2 linked regions of the Oreochromis niloticus genome follow. The protein of the gene in region 2 purifies or fractionates together with the protein of the main gene of each other region. This does not show direct contact. Links are inferred from orthologs where the notes say so. Each region holds a gene or a part of one and is shown on either strand. Other genes may lie near its edges.

Region 1 (7,452 bases), on a different chromosome or scaffold from region 2:
GCCATTTGAATGCTGAGAAATTAAAATGATCCTTTACACGTAGTTCAGCATTTGGTCTCTCCAGGGCTGAAAAAACACATTATGTAAACCTTCTAAAAAATATCGGATGCATAAAATGTTTTAAGATAGTATTATTGCTTTTTGATTTGTGGATAATCATCAGTATTCATCTGTCAAAAGCACAAACAAATCAGTGATTCTTCATTCTGCAGAAAGAGCCTGAGGTTGCACAGCTGCACAGTTGAGACATATCGGAGAAGCAGACAAACAAATACACATAGAATCCTTTACGAATTATGAGCATCCCCTGAGCCAAATTAAACACCACCATAGTGGCTGCCCCCTGAGCCAATCAGTATAAATCTGAGCCTGCTCAAACAGCAAATATACTGACGCAGGTTATTCCCTGATGTTTCATTAAAAATCAGCTCTGTTCAATGTACTACTGATCCCAACGACCAGGGTGACAAACAACATGAAAAAGGTACTTTCATTCAGTGGAAACGCACACCTCTGTAAGAATAAAAAAGAAGATATAATAAGCTTCAATCTTAATTGGAGGGAAACAAACAAAGAAACTCTTCATCTGACAGATATATACAGACAGAAAATTTACCCACAACTACAAAGTGACATGACAGGTGACGTTTGGATCTGAAAATTGGGAGGGATTTAGAGAAAGTAAGTGTAGGAACAGGTGCCATATCTGAGTTCATGAGTTTCTTTGACCCAACAGAAAATCTGACACCACCCTGAGTACATTATTGCAGTCAGTGCTGAGTGTTTTTCATACAGGGAGCCTAAGAAGATGCTACTCATGTAACTGAAGAACTGAGTGAAAGTCTTGAATGAATAAATCCAGAATGCCAGTAACACGCTTGTCAGTGTGCTCCATTTTGTAGGCAAACATGAACAAAGCATCTGCACACAACAGCCTGAAACAAAAGCCTGGCAACACTGGCCCACAATATTCACTTTGCTTATTGTCTGGTGTGACTCAATAGGCACTCGCCTGCTACGAGCTACACAATAGATGACAGACAGTTTACCCTTCACTCAGATATCAACATCAACTTCTCCTTCACCTGATTTCAGAAATGCATCTTTGAAGTCATTCTTGTTAAGATTTATTACTAAAAATCCTATTTTTCAGGAGGAAATACATGACAAAACAAATATTTTTTTATAAAGTGAGGAAGCCAGAAGACAATGCAAACACTCCCCACAGCTTATGGACTGACTCAGCCCTGGAAGTCCCTGTTAAACATTATGTCATGAGATTTCTTCACTGCGTGAGGACACTGTGATTTGGCACTGTGTGAAAGAAACCAGCCTGCACCACAGAGGGGCCTTTTTATAAACCAAAATACCAAAGTCATAACCCGGGAGACGGTCTCCCCTGCAGTGCAAAAACCAGAGAGCTCAAGCAATTTAAAAACCAGCATGCTGAATGTTTCTCTGCAGCATCTGGATGGAAAGAGGCTGGATTTCCCTTTGTGAGACTGCCTGATTTAAGCAGTTTTGACACTTTCTGACTCGACAATTTAGTTCGTAGAGACTCATTCTCATTAGGGCTCTCCTGGAGTAAAAGAGAAGACGTAATCAAACCTCAGGATCCCATTTCCCACAGTAGAAAGAAAACAAAAAATAAATAGATATATAAACACATTACCTATGTACAAAGATTGCAGATACAATCTCTTTACAAGATTTTGTAAGTTTGTGCTGCACGGTAATATTTTTAGAAATACACAAGTGCTTCACTTTATAAACATTTGGTCTCAATCTAATGGCTCAGGCTGATGTTTCTGTCTTAAAATTTGCAACTTAAAATAACTCCAGTCAAATAAGTACCGACACTCCTCCCAAAGCTTTCCACAGCTTCAACATCCATAACAACTGGCATACACCATGAAATCTAACACTGGACCCACATCTGAACCTTGAGAGCAGGATCATGAAAACTAGACAGGCAACATTGCAAATAAAGATTTTCCTTAAATATTATTAAGATTGTTAAGAAGCCTCTGCATCAACTAAAGTCTCATTTATATATATGCTTTTGCATCCAGACAGCTGAGGAAAGAATGTATAAGAATGCAACATTCAGGGCTATACTGCAACACTCAACTGTGCATATGCTTTATCTAATTGTCCACATGCTTGCAGCATGACACTGGTGTATTCATGATATGAAAGAAAGATGGTGGCTCACCACAGGCTGGTCTGACCAGCTTGTAATTATGTTGCTAAGATCTCTTTGCAAACATCTTTTTTGATAAAACACATCCCCCACAAGATGTTTGGGTTATACAGGCTATAAAAATAGATAACAGAGCTCCTGCAGTGTCATCCACAAGCACCACGAGCCAAAACTGAAAGAGGAGTGAGCACTGTGTCAATGTCGATTAATATAAACATTGATCCAGTTTGTGGATGCTATCGTTTCTAGAAGACAGCTAATAAAGCACAAGTTTGGCATGTGAGGCAATGCTGGTTCTAGCCAGTGGGGTTATGTCCTGTAAATCCTGTTACACCAGCCTGTCAGTCAGTGTCACTTCAGGTGGCGTTTATAAATCCCGGGTAGCAATGTGGCGTCTGGTCTTAACACTGCGTGCGCACACCTGCACATCGGTTTCGGTAAAGTAAAAGGAAACACTTTAGTAAGTGCAGACATGCAGCATGACAAAGGAGACTAGCAGCGGCTATGCTAACCACCCCCACCCCGCCCGCCCCATGCCCGGCTGTCAGAGCGAAGCAGGGCGCATGTTTGCGGAGCCCGACAGCTGATAGCGTAAAATGAAAGGGAGGGGGGGTGAGGCGAAAAGCGTCTGACAGACCCCGGCCGCGAGAAAACAAGTTGTCGACAGCATTAAGTCGCTACTTCAGAGTAATGAGAGCAGTGTCAGTGAGTTGTGCTAGCACCAAAACTGAGAATCATACCTTTGCTTTGCCGGCCTCCAGCTTCTTTTGCCTCTCCTCGTCTTCCATCCCCGCAGTCCCTGTGGCTAAACAAACAGAGAAACTGCCTCATGCGAAGTATCCGCGAGAGAAATTTAAAAGCTAACAGCTAAATGTCCCTCTCTCTCTCTGACTCGTGGCTCGCTCCCAGAGACTTCCACTGGTATTAACTAGCTGTCTCCTTGTTGGTAGTCCGCCGCCATGTTTTCCACGTAAACATGAGACCCAGTAATGATGACGTAGTGTAGGTGCCTTCACAGCCACGCCCACTGGCAGCCCAACGGTGGTGCGTTCACGCTCAGTCAGAAATACCGTCCCCAACATGATCGTCGTTTTTTTTTACCACTTCAAATTTCTATATATTATGTTATATTGTTACTATTTCTGGTGTATTCTTAGCCATATCTCTCTTTAAAAAGTCATTTTTATTTTCAGTGGGACTTTTACACCTGTATAAGTAAAAGATATATAAAAGTAACGTTATGAAAAAGTGACCACAACTCCCAAATAGTGTCAGGAATGTTGGACAGATTATAGGCCATCAAGTCACTCAGAGCAGGCAAATACAGGAAATCAAATTTTGGCAAGCGATCACTTTTTCGTATGACCACACAGTACTAGAAAAAGTTTTTTAAATACTTTAATTCATTTATAAAAAAAATAAAGTTAAAAAATTACATTTCGATATATATATTGTCATTAAAAAGTCTGTTGTCTGATGACCAGAATCTGTTATTTATTGCAAACCTCCACCTACTGAAAAAGGAAAGTGTTTTCTTACTCAAGTTCTCACATGGTTGTTGCTGAATTGTCTCCCAGAAACTTGTTTTTAGGTGAGGTGGGAATACCAAATTCAACTTCCAGCTAATTAATTCGAAAAAATTCTTTCACTGTCAAGCTCTGATTCTGACTTTGAGTAAAAGAAGCAATGACATGACAATTAATTCAGCACAGTTTTAGTATATATCTAAACAACAACAACAAAATAATAATTAAAAGTAAAAGTATAACCCTGTATCCAAAAACAGCGGATAGATTTAATCTAACTAATTTTAACCACTGTGTATCCTGTTCTCGGGCATGCCCCGCTAATGCCTTTGGACCAGAGTACTGTAAAGCTTAATGATGCCCAGTGGATGAGAGCATATTAAGTATTTCAATGTAATGCTACATTCTGCTTCTACTTTACCATATTTTCTTTGCAAATACTGTAGTTTGCACTCATACAGTGACATACAAATCAGTGAATCAGAAATTATGATCCAGTATATACATGATTCTGAAAAGTGATATTCAATATAATAAGTACATTTACTTTAGACACTAAGTATATTATGATTTAATAACTTGTTCACCATGAAACCACATAAGCCTTTAATATAAATTTTACTTTTTAGCCCATTTTTTTTTCACTTTGTGAAACAATTATCAAGCATGTTCAAACCGGTTTCACTCCCTGCCACTTGAAATACTCCTAATCCTATTGGGTAGCTTTAAATTTGTCTTCTATAAATATATCTTGACTGATAAAGTAATGGAGGCAAATGCCAGATGCTATCAAAATAAAATACATGTCTCTCCATTTGTACCCACATAAGTATCTCACTAAAATGCATTTAGTTGGCGTCTACCATTGAGGGTGGTGATGAAACACTTGCTGACTGCTTTAAATCCAAACACACCACATTTCTCCATAATTTATGATTCTCTTTTTTTCTCTGTCTTTGTGGTTTGAAAGATATTTGTGAATTTGTAGAGCCATTACAGAAAAGAGGGCTGAATTTCTCACAATGTAAAAGATTATTTAATGCAAAAATAATACATTTAGTGCTAATTATTAATAATCCCGTCACTATATTTGACTACAATCCCATAAATTTCCCTTCATTCTCTGCAGTCTGAAGTCTGCTTGTAAAGTCTGCTCAGTTTCTATGGTAACAGGCGAGGAGGAGAGGTTGCCAGAGCTGTCCCAGTTGAGAGTTTTCTTTTTTAAACACAGAATATTTTCATATCAAAGATGTTTGCTGCTAATAAAGGCTCCAGCCGTCACCTCACATTCTCCAGCATGGCGTTTGAATGGGCTGCATCACCAAGAATGCTGCCATATGTTAAAGAGGAAGCACGTGAGCTGTCCCAGCTGAATGGTGCTGCAGGTAATATGAGAGACTGGCATCGGTTTCTAGGACAGATGGGGACGATTAAAACAAATGGACAGGCAATATTTTACTCACAGCCTCCATGTGGGATTGATCTTCAGTCTTAAAATAGTATATATTTAATTAAAGTAGCATATTCTTGGCAAACTAAGGGCCTTTTATCTTTCCTGTCATTTTCTCCCAAATAAGTCAGTGATAATATAAACTTTATGGCTTGATCGTTAGATGAACTAATCTTGTTGCTTTAAAGTTTTTATTTGATCACCAGTGAGCTAATAGGGGATATGGGCAGTAATTCAGAGGGGTCTTTGCTGGGATTTTAGAAATCTGGAGATTATTTGTTACACATTTGCTTAAACGCCATATTTCCCCAGGGCATGCCTCAAACTGCAAATGTAAGACTAACAAATTTTAACCAGTTTTAATATTTCATATTCTTTGATTATTTCCTTACACTGTTACATTTTATTTCAATTTCCCTGAGATTAAATTCCAGGTGGACCAACATTTATTCCCTTTTTATTTGCAGGCCAGTCCAGTCTTAAACCAATATCCTACCTAAGCGTTTTGCCTCAGTTTCACTCGAAGATTTCTTGTTCTAACATCCAGGTTAAAATATTCTTGTAGAATTATAAAATATTAAACTTTTCCTTATACTTCCAGAAACATACCAGTAGTAGCAGTAGCAGCAGCAGCAGCAGCGGGAGAAGATGCTCTGTGTCTTCGGCTGACGGGGGCTGAACAGCTTATCGTCTGGCAGATTTTGAATTCCACCCATCTTCTTTTGGACATTCTCACCAGCCTGATCTCACCTGTGAAAGCTCGCTGTTTGAGCACCAGCGTCTGCAGGAACTTTTGAAAGTTTCGCCAGTCTCTGAATTATTGATTCACTCAGGGAGTATACAGAGTCTACAATTACCCAAGTGACTTTACCAAGACAAGCTCAACAAATGAACAGCATGCATGCTATATTTATAAGTCAGAGGGTGGTGAATAAAGGCTGTTAGAATTAAAATGATAGAAACATCTATATACTGAAAAGTAAAATAAAACCACTTTGAACCATTTTTCTTATAACACTTTAAATACACATGGTGGACAAAAGATTAAAAGCACCATTCAGCTGAGACTTATAACACTTTAAATACACATGGTGGACAAAAGATTAAAAGCAACCTTAACTAATGTAGATTATCATCACATCCAGTGCTGCGGCTCTTTTAAATTAAAGTGTATTTATAGCCCAGAAGTGTCATATAGTTTCACCTCCTGAGATCCTCATATGATTACATTTTTTTTTTAATGCTTTTCTTCATCCTTATACTTCATTCTGCTCAAAGTATTCTATATTTTATTACACAATTGAGACTTTATTGTGTTATGCTTCATAAACCCAATATGTAAAAATGAGGACATGGTTGCAAAAACAAGCTAAATCATGGCCTATCCGCCACCGTGCTTGACAGTAGGTGGTGTGCTGACATGCTGTACTTACCTTTCTCCAAACATGGTGTTGTGCATTATGGCCATGAATCTCCACTTTGGTCTTTTTAGAGAGAAGAGGCTTTCTTCTGGCAGTCCATCCAAACAAGCCATACTTGTTAGAGATTAGCAGCACTGGGCTGCCACTTGCCCACTTAATTCCTATGGAAACAGTAAGGGTATACTAGCTGAAATTCCTCTTCAGTGTTGTAAGCGACTGATAAAGTCCTGTGAAAGCTTCACATGACTGTTTGTATTACCAAAACATGTATGATCTATTTCTATGTTTAAGAAATCTTGGCTTCTTGTAATCTCTTATGAGGCCAAATAACTTTTATGGGGGCTAAAAAAATACATGTCACACTCCAGTAGGTTTAGTTAAGTGCAACAAGAAAGCTGGAAGCTCAGCAACATGTGGGAATGTCTCTGTTTCAAATACAATAGCAGAGTAGATCAGATTGAACCACTCTTACCATTTATGGTGTGTTATAGCCTCTCTTTATCTTCTGTCATAGAGTATAAGTAATTAAAAGACAGACACAAAGACTATAAGGGTCCCTAAAATACTTTGGATACGTTTAAGAAAATTTCAGGTGTGCAAATGCAAATGTAACTGTGACCTGTGGATGTGTGAGACAAATTTGAATCGAGACTCCAGCTGCCCAGCTGTTGCGATAGAGCTCACTTCAGTCTCAAAGCAGCAGAGCAATGTGTATTTGCATAATGACAATATCAGTGTCATGCATTAAAATATGCATAAGTGGGGGGACTCATCAGTAAAGAGACGCACTGGGTCAGTACGTTTCTCAGTGGCAGGCTGTGAACCATAACACATGGTAAATGTCCTTTTGTA
Region 2 (7,992 bases):
TGATCAATGATATGTTCCCCTTCCGTGCAGAACTTCTCGAACATGGCATCCAGCACCTGAGACATCTCTTCCTGTCATGGTGGGGGGAAAAACAGCAGTCAGACAGTGAAAGAATCACGCTGAATGCACTCAGAGTTCGTTTTCGAGCTTCCAAAACAAATAGATAAATAACCATCTCTAAAAAAATCAGGCACGGTGCACTGGGCATGCAGCAAAAAAAAAAAAAAGAAAGAAATTTGCTGGCCTTGGGCCATGTTTCCCTTTGTTTAATTTAGGATATGGCAGGGCACAAACCAGAGAAGAGCTTATGGAATAATCCACTCACAGGATCCAAATTCTTGAACAGAAGAATGTCCCTACATGCTTCCTGTAGTCTCTGTCTCTGCTCATCAGTTTTGGGGTGAGTGACCTAAAACATAAATCACGAATCAGACTTATAACCTCTGAACAGTTAAACCAATTGTGTAAATAAAATAATCACTGGATGGATGCAGTTTACCCTTGGCTCTTTATCCTCATCATCTTCGTCAGGATTGAATGCTTCAGCACACACTGCATGACACAGACACACAAATCACATTTACATTTCTCTTATTGATGAGCAGCAGTTATTTTGTCCATACAGTGTTTTCAATTCTGGGGCAGTTTTCTTGTTATTAGCGACAGTAGATGTCAAAGGTGTTTGTAAATAGAATTGTTAATTAATCCCTTATTAATTGCTTGTTTCGTCCCGTTCATGAATTATAATGCTGAAGTATACCAGCGTCTCTAGGGTCTCTGAGAGCTCACTTCCAGTGGAACTGTCTACCAGGCCTTTATTTGAAAAAGCTTCACTTTTTTTTTTTTAAATGAACTTTTAGATGAATAACGACACCTTACATAACATCTGAAAAACAAATGTTCATCTTCAGGTGGCCCACGGCACAGACTTCATCCCAGTCAAACAAAAAAGGCAAATTCCAGGGATGATTCAGGACCATTTCAGGCAATAAATCTTTCAATAAAAACAACTTTTCTCATCTTGAGTACAGGAATATGCGGTGATGGATGACAGCACTCTTACCGCATTTCCTTCCTATATGTTAACAGAAAGATGGGGTAGTGGTATAAAAAACTTTCAACTTGGCACAGGCTAAAGTGGAATATAGTAAGTGGCCAGCTTAATGTTAACTTAATTAAATTTGTTTTCATTTCCTGTGCAAGCTTTACAGTGTACTAAGTAGAAGATGTTCGTTCCCCGTCTGAAGTGATAAGAGGTAAGTTAAATACCTAAGTTATTAATAAATAATTCTTTCCATTCAGAAAGGCAGACCAAGCAGCTATCCAAACACAACAAAGTTATGTGAAGCCGCAACTTTACTATTGCTACATTACTCACTGACGGGTTCAAGACAAAGTGGCTTCACAAGCTGTAACAAATCAACACGATTACAATAAGTGGAAGACGGTAACAAAAGACAGATGGAAAAATACTTAAGTATCACTTGTACTGAAACCAATCTGACGCAGCCTCGCTAGTCATGTGTCACAGAAGGCTTTATTTAATGTTTTCAGCTCAGACACTGTCCAGAGTTTCCCTCCTTGACACAACAGGAAGATGGCAACTCACCTGATGCTCTTCGGATGAATCTGTTTATCACAGGGGCTGGAGAAAAGAAAAAGAAAGATATATATCTGGGTTGGGTTTTTTTTAAAAAAGCATGTTAGATTTCACCATAAAAGATATCCATCCATCACAAACTGTTATTGCTAGGAAGGTTTGAGGCTGTTGTATTTCTACATCTACACATCTACAGCACAAGTGGAGCATTCTCATTAGGGTCTATATTCATCTGAGTAAAAGCTGAATGGGGGACAGCTGCTTTGAAGTGGATTTTAGCCTTTGAATCAAATTTAAATGAGAAAAACAGTGCCAAGCTGCTACACAATAGGTCAGTATGAAATATACATTAGATAGGAGGTCTCATCCATTAATGGCCTGCCAACCAGTGCTGACCGGGGAATCTCGTTGAAATATGGGAGGCATTAATGGTGGTTGGTTGGTTGGTTGGGGGGGCACAACAATGACCCAAAACACAGACGTTTAACAACTGCATGTGAGGCATTTCTCCTTATGTAACCATTGCAGCCAGTCTTGCAGAAGCCACCACTCATTGGGATGCTGTGTCAGAGCTCTGGGTTGCTTCTGGCTGCACCTCATTACACTCTAGCAGCAGTCACTGTGTTAAATACTTCAGGAAATGTAGGCCTGTCGACGGCAGATTGTGTACTGCCTGCATCTATATAACAGCTGAAGCTGTAGCCCTTTATGTTTTACAAGCTTTGTCTTTTTTGGGGGGGGGTACATATGAAGGGGAGGCCCACCGGGCCTGCACCTGAGACAGAAAACATTCAAACGGTCCAGATGTTTTTATTACTATCATAATTATTTATAAAGCAAACGTAGAAGCCGCAGTGTGCAGGTGCTATTCTCTGAGCAGAAACGTGAAGAGCAAAACACGTTCGTGAAGCAGCATTGAGCCTCGGTGACCATATATGGCAAATGACAGAGCCGTTGTAAATGTATGGCGGCAGCATCAGCGCGCTCGATGTGGTTTCTCATTCTCTCCCACAGAACAGCCGCGGTGCAGCCATCCATCCATCCATACATGCTCACAATTCAAAGCAAAGCATCTCGAGTCACGTTCAGCATCCCCCTGACAGAAACACGCACGGTGAATGTGTTAGCCCACCTATGAATTCCTCGTCATCGTCGTCGTCCTCCTCTCCGTTTTCCGAATCGATCTGCATGGCTTCGTCAATGAAATTGACCGCTTTCCCAAGTCTCGGGGCCGAATTTTGGTCATTGCCAAATGAGGCCTCTTTGGTCTCGTTCTCCTTAAGCTGGGTGAAATACTGTAGCGCAAACTCGAGCAAGTCCCTGGGCTGATTCCTCAACACTTCCACGGTAAAGCTCTGTAACAGCTCCGTCAGTCCTTCAGGAATTTCTATACTCATTCCTGTTATCAGTCTATGGATGTGGACAAAACCGGTTTGCTGCGAATTTCAGTGATTCAAAAGCACCCAGATCAGGTTTTCTTCCCGTCGTGTTTTTTGGTTGGCTTTTTTTTAAAGATGCCGAAATCAGCAGACGGGTGTGTAGTCAGACCACCCGCTCAGCAAGCCCTCCACAGCGGATCCTCTCTTTTTCTTGAATGAAAATGGCTCTGGATTTTTGGTCCGAACATCTTCTGCTGCTTCTGGCTAGGAAACCCACGCATGTGACCCAGGAATCCATGGCAACCACCTATCCAGAGATTGCGTATGAGCAGCAGCGGCGCAGAAACTGCAGTCAGTCGCAAAATACAAATGATGGGAAAGAGAAGCCCTGGGGAAGGCTCTTTCAGTCATAGATCGATTTTTCACTAACAGAGATTAGATCAAATATCCTGCGGTCTGGCATGTATGTTTTCCGTGGTTGTTCACTCACACTTACCCTAAACGATTTAAAATATGATTAAATAAGAAGACATCGCATATTATTTAAAAAGAAAAAAACAACAGCAGTAGACATAGCAAGGCTAAAGACAAAAAGGTACTACCATGCAATGATAAACACTGAATCTGAGGGAAATGTATCTATTTTTTTGTTTTGCCACATGTAATTCATATTTAAACAGGTAAACATTAAAACCTAAGACCTCTGTAAAGACCTACAGCTCAATAAAGATTAGTTCTGTATTTTTATTTAGGCTTCTTTTTTTTAAAGGAGCTAATAAGAAAAGATCGTTTATGATAGTTTAGAGAGTTTGGAGGCTCATTTCTTGTTCCATAGGGAGAAAATAATAATAAATGTGCTGGATATTTTAATGTCATGGGACCTGTCAGAACACTTTGACCACGCCAGATGGAAGTTTCATTTCAGAATCAAACGTTCCCCTGTGATATCACGGACTTGTGTAGCTGAACATTTAGTACATTAGAAAAACGGCTCAGACAGAAAAAATAAGTCTAGGTCTCAAACTAAAGCTCATTAATCATAGACTTCATATGGACATCTATCAAGAGATGAACTAATGATGCTCTGCTGTGGGTTACAATATGACTGAGCCACAAAAATGCATATCCACAATATGAGTTCAAATTTAGTTGACACTTTCTCGTACCAGAAACATTTGTAGGAGTGACATGAGTTCACAAGCCTGCAAAACTACATTCTGTCAAACAGCTAATCCAGAGAGGAAGGGGAAGTAGAGCAAAACAAGGGGGTAAGGGTTAAACTGGAATGCAGAGCAAGTGGGAAGTCTGCCCACTTGCTGAGGTTGGGTGACCTCAGGTGAGTTTTAGTCATGGCATGTGGTGGCACAACTACTACAGTGTGAGAAATCCCCCCCCCCCCCCCAAAAATCCCTTCTCATATTGTGTTGGAATTTCAAGGCTTCCAGCAGAGAGAAGGTTAGTTTGAGGGAACCACTTGAGGAAACAGATAATAACTGTGCTAAAGGAGCACAGCTATTATCTGCCATGGTTATCATTCCTCTGTGGCTCCACTATGACACCCCTCCCCCTGCTGTGGCCCATATCTGTCACCCTTTATTAAGAAAGGCGCAGCATTTCTCACTCCGGCGAATGGGAGCATGTCGATGGAGTGACCTGTAATGCTCCACTGCTGCAGTTTAGCTGTTAGCTTTCAAACTCACTATTCCAGACCACTGTGAACTATAAGACACCCCCCCACACACACACACACACCCCCACACACACACATCTGAATACAGCACAACACCATCATTTCATCTACTGTAAGAGTCAGCTGCACAAAACACACACACTGTGCGTCAGCCCTGTTCACTGAACCATAGATCCTGAAGACGGTTTCTACTTTAAGCTTCACAACAGACCAGTAGAGCTTGCATTGGTGTAATTGTTAACTACACTTAAACAGCGAATTCTCTGTTGATATACAACATACATATATATACATATACATATATATACATATACATATATATATACACACACATATATATATATAAAGAAAAGAACAGTTTTCTTTTAAAACAACTTCAAGATACTGTTCATCAGATGTAGATTTTTTTAGGCCTGCATTTTTTTCTTTTATTCTACAATGGCATTCTTTCACGTGCATTTCAACTAAAGAAATGGGGGGGGGAAACATGTCTTTTTGCAATACTTAAATAATACTTGCCAAGTGAAGTGGGGCGAGATCAGCTTCGAAAGGGCTCCATGTTTTTATTCTATGGCTTCATCTCAAAAATGTGAAGCTGAAACCTCTTAAGTCAATTTAATGACGTAATGATTGAGTGCGTCCTTTAATTCATTGGCTGCTAGAACCCATTTTGAATGTATTAGTGCCACCTACTGGACATCCCACTACATTACAATGTATTGTTAAACTAGGATACAGTTGATGTTGTTTCCTGTTTCAAGTGCCATTAAGTTGCCGTCTTTCCTGAGTGTGTTGGAACAAATGTATTTCTTGGGTAAAATAAGCTTACTGTGTAAAATTAGATAATTAATTCAGTGGTGAAGACGCCCCCCCGCCAAAAAACCCCACAAACAAACAAACAAACCCCAAACAAGTTTTATCTCTTGCATCTACTGGCTGTTCCACATCCTTGTGGGTTTCATTGCTTTCCTGTAAACCTTGACAAGCCTGTGGTCTGCATGTTTAGGTCATCATAACAGATTCTGAGATAAACCCACACAAGTAGATTTTATTAGATTTAGCATTTAGTGTACAATATTATTATAGTCAAAATCACTATATCCAACAATTAAGGCTAGGCACCTAGTTCTGCTCACTTTCAGTAAAGAAAAAAAAAAAGAAGAAAAAAAAAAAAAGGCATGGCTCAATGAAGACATCCTGTACAAGATGCATCAGTCTTCATGACATCTTACCAGTAAGCCATCTCCCCAGGGTTGCTGTAGAGAAACCACAGGGGTGTCACCCTCAGTGCACTTAATATTTTTTTTTTTTTAAATGCATCCTTCCTCATTAAATTTGCATAAATGTGCAACCGAAAAGAACAGTAAAGTATCCTAAATGTAGAACAGCTCATGTAACCATGACTCTTTACATCATTTCAGTCTGAAAACAAACTGTAAAATGTCATGGCACCCTATGTATGGGTAGATGTATTACACTATAAGCTACAGCCAGACTGTACTTTTGATATGTTGGGATTAAGATGACTGAAAAAGAAAATAGTAGCCAAGACCTGTCTGAAAGCAACTCTTTCAGTTTTGAATAAAACACCAGAAACGATGCAAGCATTTTTTCCACGAAACATTTATTTGATCAATAGACAGGATCACATCTTTCCATAAACAGGTCAGTTAAATATTAACAAATTTACAGTCATGAGGAATGTAATACAAAAGAAACAAAAACAAATATTCGCTTTAAAAAACCCCAACCCAGGGACCCCACCCAGAAATAATGTGGCCACGGTGGCACTGAAACAGAGACTTAAGTCCATTTTCCAGCTCCACTGTTACACGCTCTTCCCTTCAGTGCTTCACAGTTCATCCTTGTCTTTTGTCTGTAAGAGTGATTAGAGAAAAGTCAGAAGAGTAAAGCACTCCATCATCTAGATTCTTAATTTTACATTCTCCTCAAGCAAGAGTGTGTGAAGTGTTCTCACCGTTTCTTCATCATCATCCTCATCCACAGTCTCCTCTTTATCTTCAGAGTCATCTTCTGCTGGTTCCTCAGGCTCCTCCTCTGGTTCTTCTTCAATCTATAAAAGAGTCATGATCATTAAATATATCCTACAGTCTTAAATATCACTGCAAAAATACTTAACATTTTACAAAGATTTAAAAAGCAGAGACAGGACTAAACTCAAAAAAGGTCACTGATGGAAGAGGAACCATTAGTTCAGACACAGATACCAAAACTGAAACATCTGCTATGCAAATTAGTATACCATACAAGAGCTGCAGTTACTTGCCTGTTCATCTAGTGGTACATTCAAGCTGAGTCGGAGCATGCGCTCTATTCTGTCTCCATAAGCTTTTGTATCAACGAGCTGGTATCCTGAGCGCAGTGTGGCTGTCTCAAACAGAACCACAGCCAGATCTGATGCAGTCTGGTCCTCAGCATCGGCCTGGGGGGTGTGAGGAAAAGAAACTGTTCAACTATGTGCTCTGATTGGTCCATTTTAAGTTTATTCATGTAATGAACTACATTTACTAAGTAATTTGATGGTAATCTTAGTAAAGGACAATTACTATAGTACAGATGTACAAAAATGACAGTGGTTAAACTCACATTGACTCTGTTAAGCAACTGCTTGACAAGAGGATGTTTGGGGTTGAGTTCTAGTGTTTTCTTCTGGCTGGCATAGTAACTGGAAAGATTAAACAGAAATACAGATTTAGAGCAAAGCAATAGCAGGTGGAGTAATAAATGGACATGCAAAGATCAGCACGGGATTAACACTCACTTTGTGGAAATGTCCTTTCCTGTCTGGTAGGCCTGTGCCTTCATGATCCTCTCCATGTTTCCTGACCAGCCATACTGACTGGCAACCAAGGCGCAGGGTGAGTTGGTTAGCCTCTGAGAGAGAACAGCCTTCTCAATCTGTTGGGGAATAAACAGCAATGCATTAAATGTTGCAACAGACATAAATGGGCAGCTATAGCCAAAATTAACTGCTTATACAGCTGGCACTCATTTCCCATTCTTTTAATATCACAGCATTACCTTATCCTTTAGAGCTTTGTCCTTCAGCCAAGTTGTGAGAGGTTCGAACTCCTTCTCCAGGGCCTCCCTCTTCTCCTTGGCCTTTTCACTCTCGTCAAATTTGACACCTTCCTTGGCCACGTTCTGGAAGCGTTTTCCATCAAACTCTGGCAATGCCTGGATGCAGTACTCATCCACAGGCTCTGTCAGGTAGATGACCTCATAGCCCTTCTTCAGCAGCCTCTCAACGAAGGGAGAGGACTCAGCCTGTAGCGGATGGAAGAACAAGAGACATGAGAATT

What was found. Proteins that work in one complex are often made in the same cells at the same time.
Region 1: the proteins of prkar2b (region 2) and akap9 purify together in Homo sapiens (affinity purification with mass spectrometry; 3 studies listed by BioGRID and IntAct, counting the BioPlex papers as one, with this or other methods). This does not show direct contact. The link is inferred for Oreochromis niloticus from reciprocal best matches to the Homo sapiens genes PRKAR2B and AKAP9.

Annotation. Positions count from the first base shown.
Region 1 is NC_031985.2:17,966,073-17,973,524, forward strand, and holds the start of akap9 (A-kinase anchor protein 9), read right to left. Parts: upstream 3,194-7,452; 5' UTR 2,992-3,193; coding exon 2,944-2,991; intron 1-2,943. UniProt on the Homo sapiens protein: Scaffolding protein that assembles several protein kinases and phosphatases on the centrosome and Golgi apparatus. Required to maintain the integrity of the Golgi apparatus. Required for microtubule nucleation at the cis-side of the Golgi apparatus.
Region 2 is NC_031972.2:48,756,274-48,764,265, reverse strand, and holds the start of prkar2b (cAMP-dependent protein kinase type II-beta regulatory subunit), read right to left. Parts: upstream 3,293-7,992; 5' UTR 2,998-3,292; coding exon 2,733-2,997; intron 1,646-2,732; coding exon 1,610-1,645; intron 553-1,609; coding exon 500-552; intron 410-499; coding exon 326-409; intron 72-325; coding exon 1-71. Other genes in the region: hsp90b1 (endoplasmin), read right to left, coding at 6,522-6,545, 6,648-6,743, 6,957-7,112, 7,277-7,355, 7,452-7,588, 7,712-7,957. UniProt on the Homo sapiens protein: Regulatory subunit of the cAMP-dependent protein kinases involved in cAMP signaling in cells. Type II regulatory chains mediate membrane association by binding to anchoring proteins, including the MAP2 kinase.